3 linked regions of the Alligator mississippiensis genome follow. The protein of the gene in region 3 binds, or shares a complex with, the protein of the main gene of each other region. Links are inferred from orthologs where the notes say so. Each region holds a gene or a part of one and is shown on either strand. Other genes may lie near its edges. The genes, in order: ANXA2, MYH9 and S100A4.

Evidence for each region.
Region 1: the proteins of S100A4 (region 3) and ANXA2 are in contact, whole or in part, in a crystal structure (PDB 5LPU), measured with the Homo sapiens proteins. The link is inferred for Alligator mississippiensis from reciprocal best matches to the Homo sapiens genes S100A4 and ANXA2. Residues at the interface, in NP_002952.1 of Homo sapiens: Lys35, Leu38, Pro43, Ser44, Phe45, Leu46, Gly47, Lys48, Arg49, Thr50, Asp51, Ala54, Phe55, Lys57, Leu58, Asn61, Leu62, Gln73, Phe78, Cys81, Ile82, Met84, Met85, Glu88, Phe89, Phe93; in NP_001002857.1 of Homo sapiens: Leu13, Glu14, Pro21, Ser22, Ala23, Tyr24, Ser26, Val27, Lys28, Tyr30, Thr31, Asn32, Phe33, Glu36, Arg37, Leu40, Thr44, Gln69, Asp70, Phe73, Arg77, Arg78.
Region 2: the proteins of S100A4 (region 3) and MYH9 are in contact, whole or in part, in an NMR structure (PDB 2LNK), measured with the Homo sapiens proteins. The link is inferred for Alligator mississippiensis from reciprocal best matches to the Homo sapiens genes S100A4 and MYH9. Residues at the interface, in NP_002952.1 of Homo sapiens: Leu38, Ser44, Phe45, Leu46, Gly47, Lys48, Arg49, Thr50, Asp51, Ala54, Phe55, Lys57, Leu58, Asn61, Leu62, Ser64, Gln73, Glu74, Cys76, Val77, Phe78, Ser80, Cys81, Ile82, Met84, Met85, Cys86, Glu88, Phe89, Phe90; in NP_002464.1 of Homo sapiens: Thr1906, Ala1909, Met1910, Glu1913, Val1914, Ser1915, Leu1917, Lys1918, Lys1920, Leu1921, Arg1922, Asp1925, Leu1926, Pro1927, Phe1928, Val1929, Val1930, Pro1931, Arg1932, Met1934, Ala1935.

What each region holds. Positions count from the first base shown.
Region 1 is NC_081834.1:33,976,703-33,983,646, reverse strand, and holds the start of ANXA2 (annexin A2), read right to left. Parts: upstream 3,029-6,944; 5' UTR 2,930-3,028; intron 1-2,929. UniProt on the Homo sapiens protein: Calcium-regulated membrane-binding protein whose affinity for calcium is greatly enhanced by anionic phospholipids. It binds two calcium ions with high affinity. May be involved in heat-stress response.
Region 2 is NC_081827.1:100,992,212-100,999,706, reverse strand, and holds the start of MYH9 (myosin-9), read right to left. Parts: upstream 3,071-7,495; 5' UTR 2,960-3,070; intron 1-2,959. UniProt on the Homo sapiens protein: Cellular myosin that appears to play a role in cytokinesis, cell shape, and specialized functions such as secretion and capping. Required for cortical actin clearance prior to oocyte exocytosis. Promotes cell motility in conjunction with S100A4.
Region 3 is NC_081838.1:13,253,463-13,260,626, reverse strand, and holds S100A4 (protein S100-A4), read right to left. Parts: upstream 2,393-7,164; 5' UTR 2,286-2,392; intron 1,355-2,285; 5' UTR 1,341-1,354; coding exon 1,200-1,340; intron 867-1,199; coding exon 702-866; 3' UTR 588-701; downstream 1-587. UniProt on the Homo sapiens protein: Calcium-binding protein that plays a role in various cellular processes including motility, angiogenesis, cell differentiation, apoptosis, and autophagy.

The sequences.
Region 1 (6,944 bases), on a different chromosome or scaffold from region 3:
TACTTAATACTGCATACTTAGTGCACATGCACTTACACATGTTCTTCCTTACACTGAAAAGAGTTGGAGCTTCTACTTTAGAGTCTATAAACCAAGACCTCATACATCCACTCAAGCAAATTTATTTATTTCTAAAATTATCGTGTACCCTGAATTAAAATGTTATTAAAATAAAATAATAGCAAAAAAGAAGAGAAGAGATCTGTTACTCTTTGCTGAAAAGAGCAGTCGTTTAAATGCTTGCAGGTCAGATTCATAGATGTTAGGGGCTGGAAGGGACCTCACGAGGTCCAGCCCCGCTGCACTGGGCAGGAAAGACTGCTGGGGTCAGATGACCTCAGCAAGGTAAGCGTCCAGATGTTGCCACACTATACCTGGTTTCTCTTATCTCCACCCTCCTAACAGTCTACCTCCCTAGCTAGGCAGGTTTGCAATAGTGATGTGGATTTAGAAATGTCCTCAGGGTTCTCAAATCTTTGGTTCCTGTATGTGCCATGATAAAAGTGACAGATGCTGACTGCAGAAGCAGCAATGTTACACCTGGCAACCAGCACCTGAGCTCATCCTTTGTCCTAGCTTGATAAGAAGCATGTCTTCTGTGGGTGACAAGCGAGGATGTTTCCCGGCTTTTGGAAGGAGAAATGGAATCTGCAGGATGAGGAAATGGAAAGTTTAGTGAGGAACCCGGTCGGTTGTGCTGTCTTCCAACCAGAACAGGGTGTGGCAATGGAGCGCAGAGGTCAGGGGAAGAATGGGGAGGACCACCAAAAAGGAGAAGAAAGAGACCCTCCCTTCAAAATGAAACAAAGCCTTACTGTCATCACCGAAATACAGACAGACCAATCTGTGTCCATACTCTACTTTAAAGCTACGCAGGTCAAACAGAGCCGCTCTCTGCAACCCGAATTGACTGACTTTAAAAGAAAAAAAGATCTCGCAGACCACTGATAGCCATTATTTCTACACAGTACAGCAACATATATATTGTAAATTATTCGTTCTCATTACTAGACAACCCAGATGGGGGAAGAAATGTCACTCTGGCGCACATGCCAGAGTAACACACTAAAGGTGAGACTACTGATTTATATTTATAATAGGAGATTCCTAACACCAGTACTTGGCAGGGAAAACCTCCCGTGGGGGGAAAAAAAAAAAAAAAAACTGTTCCGTAAGCGAGCAACTGGAAAAACAAACTCACTGGAGCTGTTCTGCACAAAGAGACTCAGCAACAGAAGTGACATACAGGGGGGGAACTTCACTAGTGATTCAAGGAGGAAATCTTAGTCCTACCACAGAGCTACCCTGCAGCACCCACCTAGCAACAACATAAGCAGGCAGTGTCCAAACAAAAGGCTGACTGTAATCATTTTTTATAAAAGAAGAAATAGTTCTGCTGCACAGAACATTAAATTTAGGGAATTACACTGCTTCTTTTGCTCTTATTTCCATGTACTTATCAGAGTCCTGTGACATACAAATAGCTTTATGAATTTAGAAGTCTATCCCGCACGGATCTGTCCTGCGCGTGAGGACAACTCACTGCTGCAAAACACCTCCGAACCTTTCCAGTTAAGAACAGAGCAACATTTCTCTGTTTTCCTCTAATGGCAGGGCAGACCAAGCTGCATTCATCCTGTCTTTAGGGCAGGGGGTCCCAACCTTTTTCTTCCCTCCTAGCATGCTATAAGAACTCCACGGGCCACCTGTGCCACAATAACTACCCAGCTCCCCAGCCTTGCCTGTGTGGCCCCAGGGTGCAGAGGCAGGGCTTGGCGGCAGGAAGCCCAGGGGCCCCACTCACCTGGGCGCAGCAGCGCGGAGCCTCGCCCACCCGCCTGCAGCACTGCTGGCAAGAGAGGCTGTGGTGCGGGGCTGGGCGGGGCAGCCCTGCCCCTGCGCCTTCCTGGGGCCTCGCCTCAGCCCCAGGGCCCAAGGCGGCTCCTCCCTACGCTGGGCGGACCCCCTGCAACCTGGATGCACACCCCCAGTTGAGAAGCGCTGCCTCAGGGGTAACACCCAACAGGAAGCTGGACCTCAGCAACTCTGCAAAGGGGGGGGGGGGGGGGAGGCCAACAATACCCCAGGGCATGTTGTTTCTGCAGTGGGGCAAAACCAGCACAAGAGCAGCTGTGACACTTGGACCGGCAGTCTGCTATCCAAAAGGACCTCTCTGGGAGGCCTGCTGGCACCACACCCAAGGGGAGAGGGTGAGGGCCCCATCCTCAACAGTCCTGCCTGGTGCCCTTTTCCTCCGGCTGTCCACACCATTCATAGGGTGTCTTTAAGAGGCTCCTGTTACCCTAGGATGCTGGAAGGAGAGGGGATACAAACTCAAATCCAAAGCCCAGCTGATTGCCTAAAACAAGCCACGTGGCTTGGAAAACCGGGGTCAAAAAGTGGATCTTAACTAGGAGATAAACTCCTCGTGCTTTCGGGAGAGACCGGTCGTACTTGCACGGGGGCAGGGCGGGGGGCTTGTCCTCCACAGCGCTTTTCTTTTGGTAGGTTGGGACATATTCACCCTTTCATTAAGCCCCCACGTTACAGAGCCAGACCCCCACGCCACGGCAGCCTCAAGCCTTTTTCCCAGGAGGACCAGCTCCGCCCGCCGGCAGCCGGGCAGCCCGCGGCCGGAGCCGCGCGAGCAGCGCCCTCGAGAGAAGCGCCGGCGGCCCCGGGCGCCGCTGGAGCCGGGGCCGGGCCGGGCCGGGCGGGGCGGGGCGGGACACGCCCGGCCGCCGGCTCGCGACGCGAACCGTGGTGGCGGCGGGGCTGTTTGCTCTGCCCCGGGGAGTCACAGCCACAGCCGCCGCCGCCGCCTCACCTGGGCTCTCGTCCCCGGGTGCGCCCTGCAGCCCCGCCCGCCCCTCCCGGCCCGGGTGGCTGCAGGCGCGGAGCCCCGGGAGCGGCCGCGCCGCGCGCTTACCTGTGCGGCAGCAGCGGGCGGCGGCGGCTGCAGCGGGGCTCGGCGGGGCGCAGTGAGGGCGCGCGGCCGCCGGGGCGCGGTCTTTGTGCCGCGGCGCCCACAGCGCCGCCCCCGCCCCGCCCCGCCCCGCCTGACTCAGCCCCGCGGCTCCACGCTGGCCGCCACGCCCGGGCCTCTGCCGCCGCCGCTACGGCTGCCACAGCCTGCCCGGCCCTGCCCTGCCTCGCCCCGCACCGCACCCGGCACACAGCACCCCAGGCCCTCCCCCGCAACGGACGGGTCTCACAGGGCCCTTTTCAACGCTGCATCTCAGAGCACCCGGCAAAGGAGGCCAATGCCATTATCCCCCTTGCACAGGTGGGGAAACTGAGGCCCAGAGGCACTTGGCAAGGTGGCGGCTTGACTGCGGACACAATCCTGTGCCCCAGTCCGGTGCTCGGGCAGCTGGAAGCCAGCGGGTCTGCGCCAGGGTGCTGCTGCATCCTGGGGCACCTTGAGGGCCTTTCAAAGGAGTGCTAGGCACTGTGAGGTTGCAGAAGTGCTTCACGAGATAAACCCAGAGATTTCAAATAGGCATGGTCTTCTGGAGTTCTTGGCAACTGGCCTTTGCTCTGTTATTTTCCTGGATGCAAAAAGAGTGAAAACTAAGAGCTGACATTTTCTGAGTGTTGCCTTGGGTCTGTCCAGGGGTGCCTATAGTTTCAAAAGATTAAGAACCACTGCTATAGGCTAAATCCTGCTGCTCCCAGTCACTGATGTCCCTAGGACCATAATTAGGTCCATTATTTATAGAAAGAGCGTCATTCTCAAAAGGGGCTGCTAAGTAGTTATGTCTATGTAGTAATCTTAAGAAGTGGCTGCTGCTCGCACAGACATGCTCAGGTGTAGTTCAGGTATTCATGGAAATCTAGCTGTGGAAGCACAGACTTTGGCACAGGGGTGTGCCCAGGAGCCAGACCCAAACTTCAGCTCCGGAAGCTTGTCCCGCTGCAGCAGCTCCCTTCCTTCCTATCCCTACCCACCCACTCTCATTAGAGCAAAGCTAAGTTTCATCTATATTACACCCAAAGCCTATCTACAGTGCAGTCAAAGAAGTGAGATACCTGAGCTAGCTTTAAACTAGTTAGGCTTGGGTAGTGGCAGCAGTCTAGCTGCAGTGGCATGGAACCAGCATAAGATACCTTGCTTCTGTGATGGGAGGGTGCAGTATTTTGTTAGTTCTCAGAAGACTAAACTGTGCGTCACCCCTAGAGAACAGAAGAGATCAAAGCCCCTTCAATGGCAAGGAAGGGAAATGTCCAGATGATCCCAGCATGTGAAGTTTGCCCCTTGCAGCAGAAAACAAGTGAACACCAAAGCAAATCTGACCTGAGAGAAAAGCTTTCTACCTGAGCCTAAACTAGTGATCAGGATCACTCTAAGCATATGAGCCAGACAAGGTTTCTGGGTACCACCTAAGGACACTAGTCCACCCAATCTAGTATCACCAATCCAGTATCCACAGTTTAATGCTGCAGGGGAAGGCAAACTCATCCTCTGCCAGTGGAATATATCTAGTCAATAAAACACTCAGAAAAATCTTTCCTGACCCCTGCAAGCCATAAAGTCTGAGATTTGATTATAACCAGTAATCTAATGCAAAGCTGCAAAAATAATGCACATGCTAAGTGTATGTTAGCGTGGAAAAGATTTGCAGAACTGTATTTTTTAAAGAGGTGCAGAATGAGGGAAGTAATTTGACAAGTAGAGCAAAGAGCTGCAAACATAAGCAGCAGCACTGAGAAAGGCACAGAAATGATTGGAATAAGCAAGAACATGGAGAGCCTGTGCACAGAAGAATAGGCTTGGAAGTGAATAGGTAGCTGATAGGGTAAAATTACAGCAGAGATTCAATGCTCTATGGTACTGGGCCTTGAATATGGAATCTGGGCACTAGACATGGAAGGCAAGAAAGAATTAGCAAGGAACATGAAAAAAGGGAATGATGTAATGATGCATCAGGAGAGGAAAAAGTTTAGTAGCCAATTTTTGCGTACTCTAAAATGAGATGCAAAAAGTTTGACCACAGGAGCAGAAGAGTTTGAAATTACATTCCAATTTGTTACAAAAGATATAAAACTTCACACTGTTCTTTCATTAGAGTCAAACATATATTACTTTAATCTTCAAGAAGACAAAACCAAAGAGACGATGTAACATTCCCATGGCATTGTCTGAGCTACATTGATCAAACTTCACTTGTGGGTAGCCCCAGTCTTACCAGCACTCAGCATTTACCCTTCTGCTCCGTAGGTAATTCCACCTTGTATTAATTTTTCATGCTTCTTCAGAAAATTACTGAACATTTGGTAAGGTAACTTGTAAGTCAAAAAACACTTGCAGCCCTAGGGAAAACAGCATCTTCAGACTCTAATATTAATTAGGTGTGCAGAAGCCAGACAGATGACTTGCTTACTATTGGATACAAACTCCCTCAGGGATTCATCTCAGATAAACCTGTCCAAGTCCCTCTCCAGAATATACAGCAACATATACTTTTAATCCTAGGTGCATATCAAACACCTAAGCAATAGAAAAGTAACAACATAATAAGAGGGACATAAATAAAATTACATTAAAAATATTGCTTGACATCCCCTACCCCACCCCACCCCAACTAGTGCTAGTCACTGCAAATCTGCTGACTTAACGGGAGCTTGTGTCAGCCAAGGATCTGGTCATTATATATATAATAAAAGAATATTCCAACTTTTCGCAAGTCTATTGACATTGTCAAAACAACAGAGACTTGGGGAATCTAGCTCAGAAAGACAATTAGGGCACTATTAAATATTAAGAAATAAATACTGAAACTGCAGAAAAAATATGAATCCTATTTTGCTTCATTTATTAGTTTACAATATTTCCCTGGGATCAAAGACTTCCTCAAGACTTGAAATATGCAAGATTTTTTCAAGCAGCCAAAGAGTAGAATGAATGCCCAAGTCACCTTTGAAAACAAAACTAAAGCTCCAGAGACCTGATCCTGACCTAAAGTTTACAGGGCTTGTGCATGGTTTGCACAAGGGTCCATAATCCCACTCTGAACTGCTGCATAATCATAAACAATAATAACAGTAATAACAGTAATTATAATACTAAGACTGGGCAGTGGCTTGGCTTACTAGGAACCCTGGAAGCTGCTGTGCCTACTTGCCTCAAGTTTCTGTTTAGGAAAAAATGGGAAATGCATCATTCCAAGTGCAAGGCAGTGTTTACAAGACAGGGAAAGGAAATACAGGCAACCCTCACCGTTCGCGGAGGATATGTTCTCATGATCCCTGCAAATGGCAAAATCTGTGAATAAGGCACTGGTGGCTGGGGGTGGGGGGCATGGCTCCGGCGGTGACAGTGGTAGTGCAGCGGCGGGAGCCCGGTGGCAGCAAGCGCAGAGCTCCCGAGGAGCTCCTGTAAATGTGTAAAGTGTATTTAAAATGCAGGTTCAGCATTTGCAAATATTTGAAACCGCAAATGCTAAACCCGCAAATAATGAGGGTTTCCTGTATTGTTTTAGTTCTCACATTCCTTAATCTCTGGATTTTTTTTTATTTAAGGCAGCACAGTAGGTTAAATTTTTAGCCTCGTTTCACGGCAACCATTGTGGCTGCAATGTTCTCACTACTTGCAGTCTTCAGCTTCCCAGATGCCAACCACAGAAATCAAACAGAGAACACTTTTATCTACTTGGGTTCCCCAGAGCCTTTGTGCTACTTTCTGATTCTGCCTCTCTTTTAGTTTGCCCTGAATGCCATGATCTCTGCACAGTACAGTGTGTTCTTATCCCCATTTACCCTGTCTTCCCAACCTCCAGCCTTGCCAACTCCCCTATTGTTTAATTTGTCTGAAAATGGCATGTGATTTCTACTTCTTTCTTTCTTCTTTCAGGTGTTTTGTTATATTACTGAAAGACCAAGTCATTTTCAGTTTTAAGCTTCACCTCTCAGCCACCTTCCTTCCATCTTAACCTTTGTTTCCC
Region 2 (7,495 bases), on a different chromosome or scaffold from region 3:
TTTTTTTAAATAAATAACACCAGCCAAACTAACTCTTAAGATGGCACATAGATGACTCTACTGTCTGAAATATGGAGCCCTCCCCAAAACAACACTGTGGACAAATAATTTCTTGGCCTTTTCATTAGTTAAATAATGCTGCTTTATAATTTAAGTTTAGGTACAACACTGCATTCTCTTCCACTCATTTGAGGATAGGCAATCAGTGCAATTTCTGACTGTTCCTCCCTCTTGTCCTAAGGAATAAAAGTGTTAAACTGGAAAGGATCTAGGCTTTTTTAGAGGATTGACTCGAGACAGGAAGTGAGCAAAAGATTACTCCTACTGACAAGCTATACAACACTGCTGTAATAAGCAGCAGTCAGATCCTCTGAAGCAAGAGAAAAAAATCATCAGTCATCCTATTTATAATGAATAGGTGTGTGTTGTGTGGCCAGGCAAATTTAAGCATGACTCCTCTTCTCTAGAAAACTTCAATATCATCATCTCCTCGCAAGATATCAAGGAAGATAATATGCTACACAAAAAACAGAACTTTGTACTGGCCATGCCCAGTCTGAAGGGTACAGACATTTCATAGATGTTAATTTGGCATCTCTACTCAGTAGAGATTTGCTAATCTACACCTGCCTTCACAGAAGTACTGAAAGTTTTAACCAAGTCCATCCTACGACAGAAGAAAGTTTTCTGTGTGTAGTGCCAACCTTCGACTATGCACAGCATTACTTGATGGATGACTTCAAGCAGGCATCAGGGACAGACATACAATTACAGACAGCTTCAGGAGATGAGGAACTTGATAGAATGACAAGCAAATTGTACTGCCACCTCCAAAACAATTTATAGACAGTTTCATGTGGCAGAACAACAGACAGTACCCTATGCCTACTAGGGCTCTCAGTTATCCTGAAATTCAAAGCTCTTAAATACTAAAAGAGCCCCATTCACCTGTACTCATTAGCTCCTTCTCCTCCACCCAAAGGTGCCTTTAAGCACCCCACTTGGCAGAAGCATTTATCTCATGTTATCCATATACTAGATTCAAGTGCTACTGCTCCAGACAGGGAGGGTAAGTCAATACAGGTCTGCACCAAGGGTTACAGCTTTCACTAGCACGATCCAGATAAGTGAACTTAGTCACCAGGTAGCTTGTGACTAAGTCAGAAAGCATCTTTATAGAGCCAGCAACTGTTTACCTTGCTGTTCCCTTTGTCACTACCTATACTTAGGAGAAAATGTATTTAAAGAGACAAATAGTGCTCACGAGGCATGTTTCAAGTTAACAATTACAGCTCACTAAGCCCCACACCTTTAAGCAAATGAGCCTGTATGTTTTGCCACAGAAGGGCAGGGGCATCATGACCTGTGGGCTTGGCCCTTTTCAGTGATAAGAGGTTCAGCTTTCCAGCACAAATCATGCGTTACTGCATGCAATGACTTCAACAAGCTGTTCGGGTACAGGGCTGCTCTGGAAAGAGCCTAGGCTCTGCCCCCCACTACCTCTGATGAGGCACAGCTCAGGAAGTTAGGACAAGGGGAAGAAAAGCTCGAGGAGAAGGAAAGCCGTGCAGATAAAGCACAAAGTTCATTCGGCAAGGGAAGACATACCAAGAAAAGCAGAGCTCAGCAGCCACCGGGACAGCTGCCTCTGGACCAACATATCAAAACTGCAGTGCGTTATACAGAATGTGGCACTGCTTTAAGCGTGGTATCTTTTACTGGACTAACTAATGTCGCTGGGATACAGTTATAGACAAGCTTTCAAACGCAAGACTTTCTTCCTCGGGTGACCCAAGGAAAAGTGTCTTGCATTCAAAAGCTTATCTAACTCTTGGCTAACAGGTGACTCATCTAACTCCCATCTAACAAATGACCTGATGAAAAATGTCTTGCATTCAAAAGCTTGAATATCTCTATCTCAGCTACATAAGTTGGTCCAATTAAAAAATAAAATAAAATAAAATAAAATAAAAATCACCCAATGAAACCTTCACCTCTTGCCTAAATACTGGACCATCACGGCTACAACATCCCTCTTACACTCTCATTCAAGACGTGTCCAGGCAGATGAGGAGAACCCCCCATTAACGACATGCTGGGTACAAATCCACCACCCACTGGGGCTGGGAAGTTCCCCAACTTTTTTCTCCTCCCGGAGGACAGGCTGGTAACAAGGCTGTGAGAAGCTAGACTCCTCTTGCATCTGCTGGAGCAGCAGAGGTGGATGAAAGCCCAGGGATCTGCCAGATTTTGTACTGCAAGCTTCATCTTGCCCCGTCACTCCCTTCCCTCCTCCCGGCTCGCTCTACCTCTTTCCTGGCTCGACTGTACAGAACAAACCGAATGAGGAAGTCAAGATCTGAGGGCGGAAGCCAAGCCCATAGCAATGTCTGCTGCAGAATTGTTGGCCTGTGACTCAGGCTGGAACCCTGACAGCTGCCAAACGGGCCTTTTTTTCACCCCCTCTCTCCCTTAACCCCCCCCCCAATTACTTCCAAGAAGAGGGGCAACAGGCAAGGATGGGGCAGGGGGAAGGGACCAGCAGCTCCTTTGCACCAATAGCTGGACGCCTTCAAAGCAAGGGGGCTCCATCACATGGGCAGCTGCCCTCTCCCTCCTCCCCTGGTCCTGGGAGCCCAGTCCAGCTGCAGCCTGCTTGGCTATGGAGGACACAAGGAGGAGCAGCCCCTGGATGCACTTCAAGTGGAAAAAAAAAGGAGATCACAAGGAGGGATCACAGCGCCTAGGGATGCACCCCCAAGGAAGCCTGCTCTGGGCCCTGCACACAGAGGAGGGCAGAGGGCACCAGGCAGCACCAGCATGGCCCTGGGGGAAATCAATGGGCTCCCGCCCGCCTCAACCGCAGCCCGGCACTGCTGGCGCCAACCATAAAAATCAATAAAAGGATTCGCGTGTTTCCGGGGCCCGCCCGCGCCGCGCCGCGCCGCCCGGGGGTCACCTGAGTCCGGCGATCGGCAGGGGAAAGCCGCGGCGGCGGCGGCTGCTTCTGGCCAGGAAGGGACTCGTTCTCGGCGTCCGCCTGCCTGCCTCGCACACACCGGCACTGCGAGGTTTCAAGCCGGGTGGAGCCGCCGCGGCCCGAGGAACACGCCCCGCCCATTGCTCCCGCGACAGCCAATGAGAGCGCCCGCTGTCCCCTTCCGCAGCCAATCAGGCCAGGCAGGGCGAGGCACTCGCTTTTTGTAACCCGCCCAACCCCGGTTTGGCCTGGCCCCGCCCCTTTCCCCTCGCAGATTAACAGGCAGAGCAGCCAATGGGGAGCGGAGAACCTAGCAGGGGCAGTTCCGGGCGGGGGGGAAGAGGCAGCAAGTGCGCCCTGCCCCACAATGCCCCGCGCGGGCCCTAGTCTGCCACAGTTCCCTGCGCTGCGCGGGGGCTCCTCCCCCAGCCCCAGGGGCCAGGACGGGGTGCAGGCTCCTGCCCTGGCGCTTCGCCTTGGGCAGCCCCACGCCCAGCGCCTTGCAAGTACCCCGAGTCCTATGAAATACGAACTTTCATTTCTACCCAGGAGAACTTTTACACTCTTTCCTCCCATGCCTGATGAAGGGTGTTTGTGCCCGAAAGCTTGCAATTAAAGAATTTTTTTTGCAAAAATCTTGTTGGTCTAATAAAAGATATCACCTCTGTCCACAAGCCTTGGTTAGGCAGCATCTAATTCACCAGCTCTGTCCATCTCAGCTGGGAGGTTTCATAGTCATAGAAAATGAGGGTTAGCAGGGACCTCTGGGGGCATCTAGTCCAACCCCCTGCTCCAAGCAGGACCAGCCCCAACTAGATCATCCCAGCCAAGGCTTTGTCTAGCTGGGTCTTGAAAACCTCCAAGGATGGAGAGAATCTACAACCTCTCTGGTTAATGGGGGTTTTACTTCCTTCCTAATGATAAAATTCTTCCCAATATCTAACCTAAATTTCCTTTGCTGCAACTTGAGACCATTGCTCCTTGGTCTGTCACCTGCCACCACTGAAAACATTGAACCCCGCTTCAGGTAGTTGAAGGCTGTTATTAAGTCCTCTCTGTCTTCTCTTCTCTAGACTTAAATAAATCCAGTTCCCTCAGTCTTTCCTCATAACTCATGTCCCCCAAGCCACTCACCATTTTTGTTGCCCTCCATTGGCCTCTCTCCAATTTGTCCACATTTGCAGCCTCCCGTGCATTTTGCAGCACTGGGTCCATTCCCAGTCCTGTGTGGAGCTTGCCAAATCATGCATCCAAAAAAAGGGAGGGAAAGCAGCACCTGATATGTCTCACAAGAGCCATCTTTCTGCACAATGAACAAGCAGGAAAGGGCATGTTTTCTTGGCTTTGCAACTTTCTTTTCCGAAGCAACAATGTTTGAAAACGGCAAAGGCAGCAAACACAAGACACCAGGCATGTAGATGGATGAAAGTGAAACGAAGCAGTCAGCATCTCCTGCGTCCATGCACAAAACACAAGCAACAACCATCTTGACTTGCCTGTGCTTGGAGGGCTGGGATATGGGAGAGAGGAGAGGAAACGTGATATGGTAACTAAGATGAGAACCAAGAAAGGATGGTGAAGCATTCCTGAAGAGGGTACTACAGAAGCCTAGGTACTTAAGATTTAATTTTTCGGGTTAGTATAATGTGTAAGTGTCTGGCACGTGTGACGTGACATAACAGATGCAAAAATAAAGAGGTCCCTTTCACTTAGTAAGTAACTCAAATGTTAAGTCGGCAGATTTGTAGGAACAGACAACGAAAAGAGTCCAGAGCTGGAGGCAATGTCAAAGGTACCAACAGAAAAGACAAAGAAGAAAGTCTTCAACTGAAAAAGGAATTAAGAGAGATGAAGAAGATACATTTGAGCAAGCATCTCTTGCCCAACTTCCATCCCAGAAAGATTGCTTTGGAGGAATTTGTAAACCAAGCTGCAAGTTTACACGGTCAAGACATGAAGGGTGGTGCGAGAGAAGTCCTGAAAGGCAGTGACAGATATGCACCGCTTAGTATCAGGGGTATATTACTGGTATTGTAAAAGATAGAGATGAATGAAAAGAATGTAAATAGTAATTCTAAGAGTGCTGAGAAATAAAATTTTGGGGGGGAGGAAGGGAGAGAAGAGGGGAAGTGCTCCATACAGGACATATCTTGATGTGGAAAAATGGTTACTTCCAGAGATAAAGAATTGCCAAGGAGGTTGGAGTGGAATCATGACAAGAAAGAACCAGGCACATCTGCATAACCAATGGCAGTGATGTTTCAAGAAGGAGAAAGGTTACAGATGCAGGACAGCTTCTTCTCAAATAGACTGCCTCCATCTTGACTGAGCAAATAGAGATTAGAGAGAGAGAAGTAGTTAATCAAGATTAAAACAAAGTTTTTGCAGAGTTGGAAAGTAGCAGATTTTAGAGAACTGGAGAAGGCAGACAAAGTTATTCACAATGGTAGCCATGTAGTCAGCAGAGGTGTGTTGTTACTATTATCAAACAGTAAGAAATTAAAGGATGACAAAAGGTAGTGCTTTAGGGACTGGATAATGCTACTAACAGCATCCCTCAAAGTCTTCTACCAATCTTATATTTTCATGTGCTGAACTGCACTTCCTAGGAATCAGGTTATGTCATTATTTTTCTTAGGTAATTGTTTATTTAGGAATCTGAGAACTTGATTCTCTTTCCATTACATGAAACAAAATCTCTTCATTGACTTCAGTGGGGAAGTATCAGAACTCAACTAGAAACCATCATTGCTGTAATTGTGCTCTCTTCCCTCCTGGAAAAATGTCTCCTCTCTTCTTAACTGGTCTCTAAAACTAAATGTTTCTATGTGTGAGCTAAAAGAAGCTATTTAAATTTGAAATGGTTGTTTTCTTTGCTTGGCTGATTGATAGCACCCTATGATGAAAGCCGGTAAGATTTCTGATTGTTGTACTACTGTACAGAGGCTTTTCTTGGTTTGGACCAGAAAATAATTCCCAGGATGGAGGAGGCATACCTAAGAAAGTGGGTATGATCAAATTGTTTCCCTGAGGCCCTGTTTCAAAAGATCATAACATTTCTATTCAATCCCTCCAACCAATTCCAGTCACCTTGTACATGCTGGACACAGTATGTATGCCCCATTTGAAACAATTAATTTGCACTTGTCTTTATTTGCATTCCAAGTCATTACCTCTTCCATTAGCTGGCACCCAAAAGCACCCTTTTCTCCAGATAGTCACCATCCATGATTGTGGAATTCTCCAGGAAAACTTCCCTTCAGATGAGCATCCAGAATTTTATAACATTTCCTGTCCAATTACTTGGCTTCTAAGACACCTGCACCGGGATGATTGCCAAAAAGCAATCTCCTCCCACCCATGTCCATATCCAGGTCTCGCAAAGTGCATGCTGTACATTTTGAAATGCAGTCATATCATATATACAAGATTTCCTGCCTAATATAGTGAACATAATCTAATCTTCCATACTATGAACTGTCAGGAGACATTATAGGCTTACTTCTTATTCTATTGGAGTATTGCTTTGTAGAGAAAATAGAAATACTCTTCCACCTTCATCCAAAATGAAGTGCCAACTCAGAGAAAAAAAAGTTACACTTTGCAAGATTAATTTTGATTTACATTTACTTGCTGACAGGTCTGGCTCTAGAGATGCAGTGTTCTGGAAAAGTGTTCTATGCAGTTACCAAGCAGTTCCACTGGATCTGTGGAAGTCTATGACTGTGCTCTGGATCAGTCAGTACTCATATATCAGAGATTTTCAATCTTTTTAGACTTGAGGCACCCCTTGGAAGATGCCAGCTCTTAGTTTTCACTTCTTTTTTTTTGACTACAGAAAAATAATACAGCAGTTTTCTGTTGCAAAGAACTCAGAAAAACCACAACTATGAATTTCTATGTGAAATCCCTGGATTTATTGTGTGAATCATATTTATAAACCAAATATCGCTAACATTGCATGGCACCCTGCAATATCCTTGAAAAGATCTTTAGGCACCCCAAGTTGCTGTGGCATCCTAGCTGAAAAAACACTAGTATATATAATGAATCAAGCATGCTCTGTACATATATTGTAGTAGGCAAGATATCTTGATTGATTTAATGTGCAGGGCCAGGCATGTAATTTGCTGGCTCAGATAAGTTAAACATATCTTCCTCCCCAAGCCTCCATATGCTGAATTAACTCAATTTCTGTTGCCCATGTTTTAAGAACCCTGGGAAGAAGCAGGAGGATTTAATTTCCAAGCCTGTCTCCAACAACTACAATTATTTGAAATCATAAAACTTCTTTCCTAGTACTTTGCAAATGGGATTTTTGTTGTACATTTTGCAAAATACATTTGTATTTCTAGCAAAGAAATTATAGAATGAAAAGAGGAAGGTTGCAAGATGTTTACCTCACAGGGGAAGGTATATTGCCAAACTAACCACACAGTGACTGTTCAGAAACCACATGTGCAAAAGATCTGCTGACTGTCACAACACAGTAGTGGTAAGAAACCTTAACTCTGT
Region 3 (7,164 bases):
CCGGAGGCAGGGGGTGGACAGCAAGGGCCCAGGACAGGTGCCCGGCAAGAGCCAAGGGTTTGCTGTGGGGGGCTGCTGGGACTGTCCAAGCCCCGTCATGCAGCAGCCATGGCTCCATCCGGTGGAGTTGGACCACAGGCACTGCTGCCTCTCTGTGGGTGACCCCAGGGCCACACAGCCAGCTGCCCTGGAGTGCTGTGGCCCAGCCCCTCACCCTGGTCTTGGGACCCCATGGTCACTGAGCTGTGGGGAAGGGGCTGCAGCAGGCTCTGGCTCTGCAATAAACTCACCCAGGTAGGAAAGGACTTATGGGGTCACCTGCCAAGATGGATCCCCCTGGAGCGGGGTAGAGCCTAGGAGGAGCTCCCCTTGCTGCCAGCAGTTGAGGGCTGCTATCCTGGAGTTGGAAGGAGCAAAGCCCCCGACCCCGGTTTGCTGCACTTTTCCCTGCGCCTGGATCAGACCCCTGCTCTTTTGGGCAAAGCTGGCAGAAACCCTTGAAGACCCCACAGGGAACTTTACCCACCCCTACGACTCCATGTGCAACACAGTCCGGGAACCAGTTACACAGTCGAAGACACACACGGGACTCTGGAAGTGACTTTATTGCACGGGCTCTCAACGGGCTCTCGAGGCAGTGGTGAGCAATGCAGCGGGGGTCCCAGGAGGAACCCACGCAGGACAGCCCAGGCCCAGGGCAATCACTTCCTCCGTGGCATCTTGTCGGGGCAGCCCTCAAAGATGTCGTTGCACATCATGGCAGCGCAGGCCAGGAAGGTGGCATACTCCTGGAAGTCCACCTCGTTGTCGCGGTTGCTATCCAGGTTGCTCAGCATCTTCTGGAAGCTGGCATCATCCGTCTTTTTCTGCCAGGGGGAAGGAGGTGGGAGCAGGGTTCAGCCTAGCCCAGAAATGCTCTGCACCCCTCCTGCAGCTCAGGGCATCACCCACCTCCCTCCACCCCATCATCCGCGTGTACCCGCCCCAGGCAGAACTGTTTGGGACAGGACGTGGGCACCTCCTGCCCCCCTCCCCTCTTCAAAGGGGCAGAATAGATTTATCTGAGAATAAATCCCAGAGCAGGAACCGAGCCCCCTCTGCAAGAGGCCACTGGACCCCTTCACAGGGGCAGACAGGTCTCCTGTGCCCAGGTCCCAGCACCGCCCCCAGTGCCTGGGGGTCCCAGTCCCCCCACTCACACTGATGAAGCTGGGCAGCTCCTTCAGCATCAGGTCCTTGAGCTCTGCCTTGTTGAGCTTCAACTTGTCGCCTTCCTTCCCCGAGTACTTGTGGAAGGTGGAGACAATCACTTGCAGTGCCTGCTCCAAGGGATGCGCCATGGCAGATCTGGGAGCTAGAGACGTGGGGAGGGGGCTGCTTAGAGCACGGCCCGAAGCACAGAGCTCCCTACCAAGCTGGGACCAGCTGGCCCAGGGGTTAAGGGTGCAGGGACGGAAGCAGATTTGAATATATTTGAGTGCCTTTGCATAGGAGGAGCACAGGCAAGGTACCCGGGTCCTGTCTTTTGTGGTGTGCCCAGCTCTCCCAGCATCCCCACCAAGCCCTCCGGTCACAGACCCTTCACCCAGGCCCATGGGACAAGTGCTAAGTGCCTATAGCCTGGCCCTGCCCAGCATCCCCAGAGGGAGGGCCCCCACCTGCTAATTGCACCAAGGCAGGAGGATGTGTCACTGTTTCCTGCCTGCTCCCAAGCCTCCCCTGAGGTCATGTTGGCAGCGCAGATGGGCGTTGGTAGCCAGCGCCAACTGCAATGACAGCCCAGGGGCTGGAGGCTTAGCAGGAGCACAGCTGGAGGGACCGAGCGATGACAGCCTGAGGGCTGGGGGCTTAGCAGAAGAATGGCTGTGGGGGGCAAGCAATGACAGCCTGGGGGCTGGGAGCATAATGGGAATACAACGGGGGGCACAAGTACTGCAGACCCCAGCCAGGCTGCTGCATAAGCCCAGACTCCAGAGGAGGCATCACCCTTTGCGTGGGTCCGGGGAGGCCCTTTGCAGCCCTGGCTGTGTCAGAGCAGAGCCCCAGACCTCCACTAACCCCAAAACTGCCTGGATGCAGAGGGCAGCTCTGAGACCCAGGCTAAGTGGGGAACCCGTGGCCGCCTTCACCACCCCAGCTCAGGATCATGTACATCTGCTGCAGCAAAGGCAGCGCCCCCTTCTCCCAAACCGCAGGGCTGGCTGTGTCCCCAGCCCCCCATGCACAAACCACCAGCAGCTGGAGCAGCTGAAGCCCCAAGCATCTCAATAAAACAAACCACTTACCAAGGCAGCGAGGCAGGAAATAGGCTGACAGATGCTGGCCGGACAAGCGGCTGAGCAAAAACCCTCAGTATTTATAGTCAGCGTACATGACTGGGGACACCCCCTCCGGCTCTGGAAATTAAAGCAAGGCCAATGAGCGGAGGAGCACCCAAACGTCCTGGCAGGCATTGGCTACAAGGGGCTGGGGAGCCCTGGGCCCCATGTCCTGCCCTCCCCTCAGGCCCAATTTTGGGCAGAGAAGAATGGGCGGATGCAGCCACTGCCCCGGTGGGTGCAAGGGGCACCGACTGGCACCGGGCCATGGGGTGTATCTGCAGGGGAGGGAGTGGAACAGCCTGGACAAGAGCAGGAAACAAAATGAGGGACGAACTGGGGGAGTCAGAGCTTAATGAGTCTTTGCAATCCCTGGTGGGAGAGAGGAGGGGGGGGCGGGGGGGATGAGCATGGGGTGGATGAACACATGCATGGACATGGGACAAGGCAGCGTGGGATGGCTGCTCAGGTGAGTCAATGGCCATCATCTGAGATCTCCCTTACCCCTCTCTGTCTAAAGCACCCCAAATTGGATAAACCTGCCATGTGTCCAGGTGGCTCCAGTCCACAGCCATACTCCTGCCTGCCCCCCCCCCTCCCCCCACACTTTGCCCCGAGATGCTTCAGGGAGAAAGGGCCCAGGAAGCATGAAACAGTGACAAGGGCTTCATCAAGCCAAGGCATCTATTCACGCGTCACCTACCCTGGTCACGCAGGGGAGGAAACCCTAGGACAGCTCAATCACAGCTGCATAGGAAATGCCTGCCCTACCCGGCACGGCCTGATCATGGACACGCATTTGCTCCGAGGGTTAATCCCAGCGAGCATGAAGCGATGGGAAGCATCCGCAGCTCCATGACGCACAGTGCCCGAGCTGCTGTTTCGGAGTGTTTTTCATTTTTTTTAACTGAAATTGGAGGCAGCTGCCTTGCGTTTCATAATGGTGGGAGGGCGGTGCCGCTGAGTTGTGTAACCAGATGCTGGTCTGGCCTGGGCTGTATTCTTCCACTAAGTGTCATAGGCCCCACGGTCCCGGTCACGTGCCAGAGCATCCCCCTGAGCTGGGTGGACCAGGCCAGTGGGGTTGGAGCAGGGGATACAGGCTTGATGCCCTGCCAAAGCCTGGGAAGGTCACATCCCTGCAGCAGGGAAGTCCCCACAGCAAGCCACACGGGGACCACCAAGTCTTGCCCACCCAGGCTTGTCTTTGCCATTAGCCCCATAGGCAGGTCTCTGGGGTCAAACCCTGATGGTGTCCACACTGGCCCAGCATGACCTTAATCTGCATCCTCCTTCCTGCAATGTGGCCAGCTCAGAGCATAGGTGCAAGCCAGGATGAGGCGAAGTTGCAATGCTTGGAGATGCCCCGGGTGGATCAGAGGCCACAGGGCAAACTGCAGGCATGAAAGCAAAGCTGCTGCAACCTGGAGGCATCTCCCAGCACCCCAGCATCCTTGGAGCCTGGGTCAAGGCAAACTCCAGAGCCAGGGGCAGGCAGGATCTCCCAGGAGACAGGGCTGGGAATGGGCCCAGAGCTGTACCAGCTCTGCAAGGCTAGCAGGGAAAGAGTTGGCTCCAGGCCTGATTACCCTGGGGGCACAGGGCTTGGTTGGCATGGAACTGGCTGCTAAGCTAGCCCAGAGCCAGGACCCTGGACGGCTCAGCCCCTCTGCCACAGGGGCCATGCGAAGCCTCTGCTGCCAGGGAGAGAAGAGGCATGGACCCTACATGAGATGGGAGGCCCTCAGCTCTCCTGGGCTGCAAGCCCAGACATGGGTGCCCGATGCTGGAGCATCTTGGGGAGTGCCAGGCTCTGCACCCCGACCCCCCTGCTCCAGGAAGGAGAGTGCAGAGCGCTGTCAGCTGCCACCTCCCTGAGAAAGGACCCAGGACCCACAGGGCAGGGCAGCCCAGATGCCCTCCCCCAGTCACACCTGGGCCTGGCTTGGTCTTAATGGGTTCAACCTGTGCAGAGGAGGTGGCAAGCCCTGCTGCCTCCTGGAACAGCCCCACTCAGCCCCATGCAGGCTGTGACTCACATGGAGCTGAGGAGGGAGGTTTCCGGGTAGGGGAAAGTCCTGCTGCTTCCGGCTGGAGGAGAGTGGGAGGAGGGCGTGGAGCTGGGCCAAGGCCTTGTGGGTACAGGGATCTGAGCTGCAAGGGCTCGGGGGTTGCTCAGAAGCAAAAGGGACTAGACCCCTGACTCCCTGGGAGGGGTCTGGGAGTGCATGGCTGCAAAGGCAGTGCCCAGCACCATGCCGTGGGGCTGGGGTCAGTGTCACCACCTCCCAGCTGGAGACCCCAGGTCCTGGCAGCAGTGCCGGTGGGCAGTGGGGATCCCGCTGCATGCCAGCTCGAGGGTCCCCATCCCCCAGCTCACCCATGCAGGGGTCCTCCCAGCTCACACCCTGCACAGCTGGAGGGGGCTCTGCACAGCTGGCTCCAGCCTGGCAGGTCCCAACACCCCCCAGCCAGCTGCAAACCCTGACATGCAATTAAATAAAAGTTGAGTGGGGAGGATGCCGCCATGCAGAAGGGAAGCGAGCGGCAGGGGGGAGGGGGAGCAAGCAGCTGCTTCTCACTGCACAGCCAGGCCTGTGGAGACCTGAATGTCGGTGCAAGTGCAGCCCCATTCTGCCTGGGGACCATGGCTCAGCCCACCCTGCTCCCCAGCTCACAAGGCCCCAGGAACAAGCCTGGTCTCATCCAGCTGACAGCGCCGAGGATGCGCCTTCCCGCATCCTGCCAGAGTGGGGGGGCAGCAGTGGCAGGTCGCAGCACAATGGGGCAGGGGTCTGAGCCCCTGGGGCTGCCCAAAGGGAGTCTCTCCAAGCCCCTAGTAGCTCCAGGGGTCCTCATTGCTGGCCCCTTCTCGAACTGCCCAGAGCTGGGCCATGGCCACCTGCCCGTGTCAGGGTACCTGGGGGCATGGAGGTGGGGGGTACTGGTGCAGAGCATGGGGTGGGAGAACAGCCCATGAGCCCAGCACCAGGGGCTCAGAGCCACTGCGGTCATGGCAGGACAGCACGGACAGCTCTCGGCTAGGCCTGGGAACCAGGGCACCCGGTAGCAATATGCACCACATTCACCCGCTCCTGAACCCGAGTCCACATTGGCAGCTCTCCATCCTCACTGCAGGCCCTACCCACCCTTCCCCAGGATCTGAGCACCCAGGACCAGTTTGGCAGGCAGGGCCGCGCAGCTCTGAACCTGGGGGGAGGCACAATTGTTTGCTCCTGTCCTGTTTGCACTGGCAGGGACCGGATCGGCTGTTTGATTAGGGGGCAGAGCCCAGATGGCTCCCAGGGCTGAGGGATGAACCCAGGTTGCTGGGTCAGGAGAATGATCAGAGCTGGTGCAAGGGTGCCCCAGGCCCCAAGTGGGCTGGGGGGATTGCTCCTGCCCTGCAGCAACCCCAGAGATGGGATGGGAGCAGGTTTGCATCTCCATTTCCCAGGGAAGCCGTGGGATTTGCCCACCGCTCTGCCACAAGCAGGCTTAAGTTGCCAGTGCCCCCCCATCCCCAGGCCCAAGGGACCCCCTGCCCTGACCAAGCCCCCCTGCACCAGGGGAATCCAGCAGTTTGCAATGAGATCCAGGCCTGGACCCTGAGGTTCACCCCTAGCCCTGAGCCCTTCTGGGATGGGGGCGATGGATGGAGGATGCCCAGCTGCAAATGCCAAGGACCAGGCTGCAGGAGAGGCAGGACACCTTTCCACCCCCCTGCAGCCCTTTGCAAGCCAGGAGGGAGCTGAGAGCAGCAGTGCAATGCTGTTGGGGGGCTGGGGGCAGTTCCCCATCCCCAGGGGCTTCCAGCCACCAGGGTCAGTGCACAAATGGCAGCACCATCAGCGCATGCAGCGAGCAGCCAGGGGCAGGTCTCAGGGGTTCTCCCATCACAGCCCCATCCAGAGCTGTCCTATCCCTATCCCCATCCCCTGTCCCAGGTGAAACCATTCCCACAGCAGCAGGCAGGTGCGCCTGGGCGTGGGACACCACAGGGACATGTCTGCAGGGCAGATTTATCCATCCAGCTTGATGCTGTGGCAGGTGCTGCGAGCATCAGGCCTGGCCCACAGGCAATCAGAGCACAGGCAATCAGACCCGGACCCTGTAGAGGCAGCCCCAGCTGGGCAAGAAGGGGGGCTGAGAAGGGTTGGAGCAATGCAAGCAGGGGGAGGAGAGGGGTGCTGGGGCATCCTGGAAAGTAGCAGAGGGGCAGGGGTCAGTGGTCCTGCATCAGGAGCAGCCGGAGAGGCCCCAGGGTCTCGGAGACATGAAAGGGGAGGATGCTCAGCCTTGAAAATCGAGGCCCCTGTGAGCTCAGAGCCCCCAGCCCCATATGGGCAGGCAAGAGCGGGGGCCCAGACCACACGGTAAGCAATGCACTCACACATTTGTTCATAAGCAGTGCCCTTGCACATCCCCTGAGCACATCAAGCGCGCTCACAGGCTCACCATGCACAGGTAGCACACTGGCACACTCACCATGTACAGACAAGGCACTCGCACACTCACCGGGGACATGCAAGACACACACCCCTCCCCACCATCCAGCACCCGGCCCAAAGCCACTTCCTGCTTCCCAGCTTCTCTGGCATCAGCCCGTGGCACGGTGCCCAGAGCAGAGCGGGGCACGAGAGCCTGACTCATCCCTTGGCTCTGGGCTGCAGAGGGAGGTCCACCGACAAGCAGGGAGTGGCCGGGCTGGGGCAGGGTCTCCCTCCCTCCAGATGTGCCCTGCCCAAGGCTGGAACCTGCCAGCCATGCCCTGCTCCCAGGCCGCACCCGGACACCTGGGTCCCACAGGGAGTTTGCAAGGACCAAGCCCCGTACAGGCTGCCCT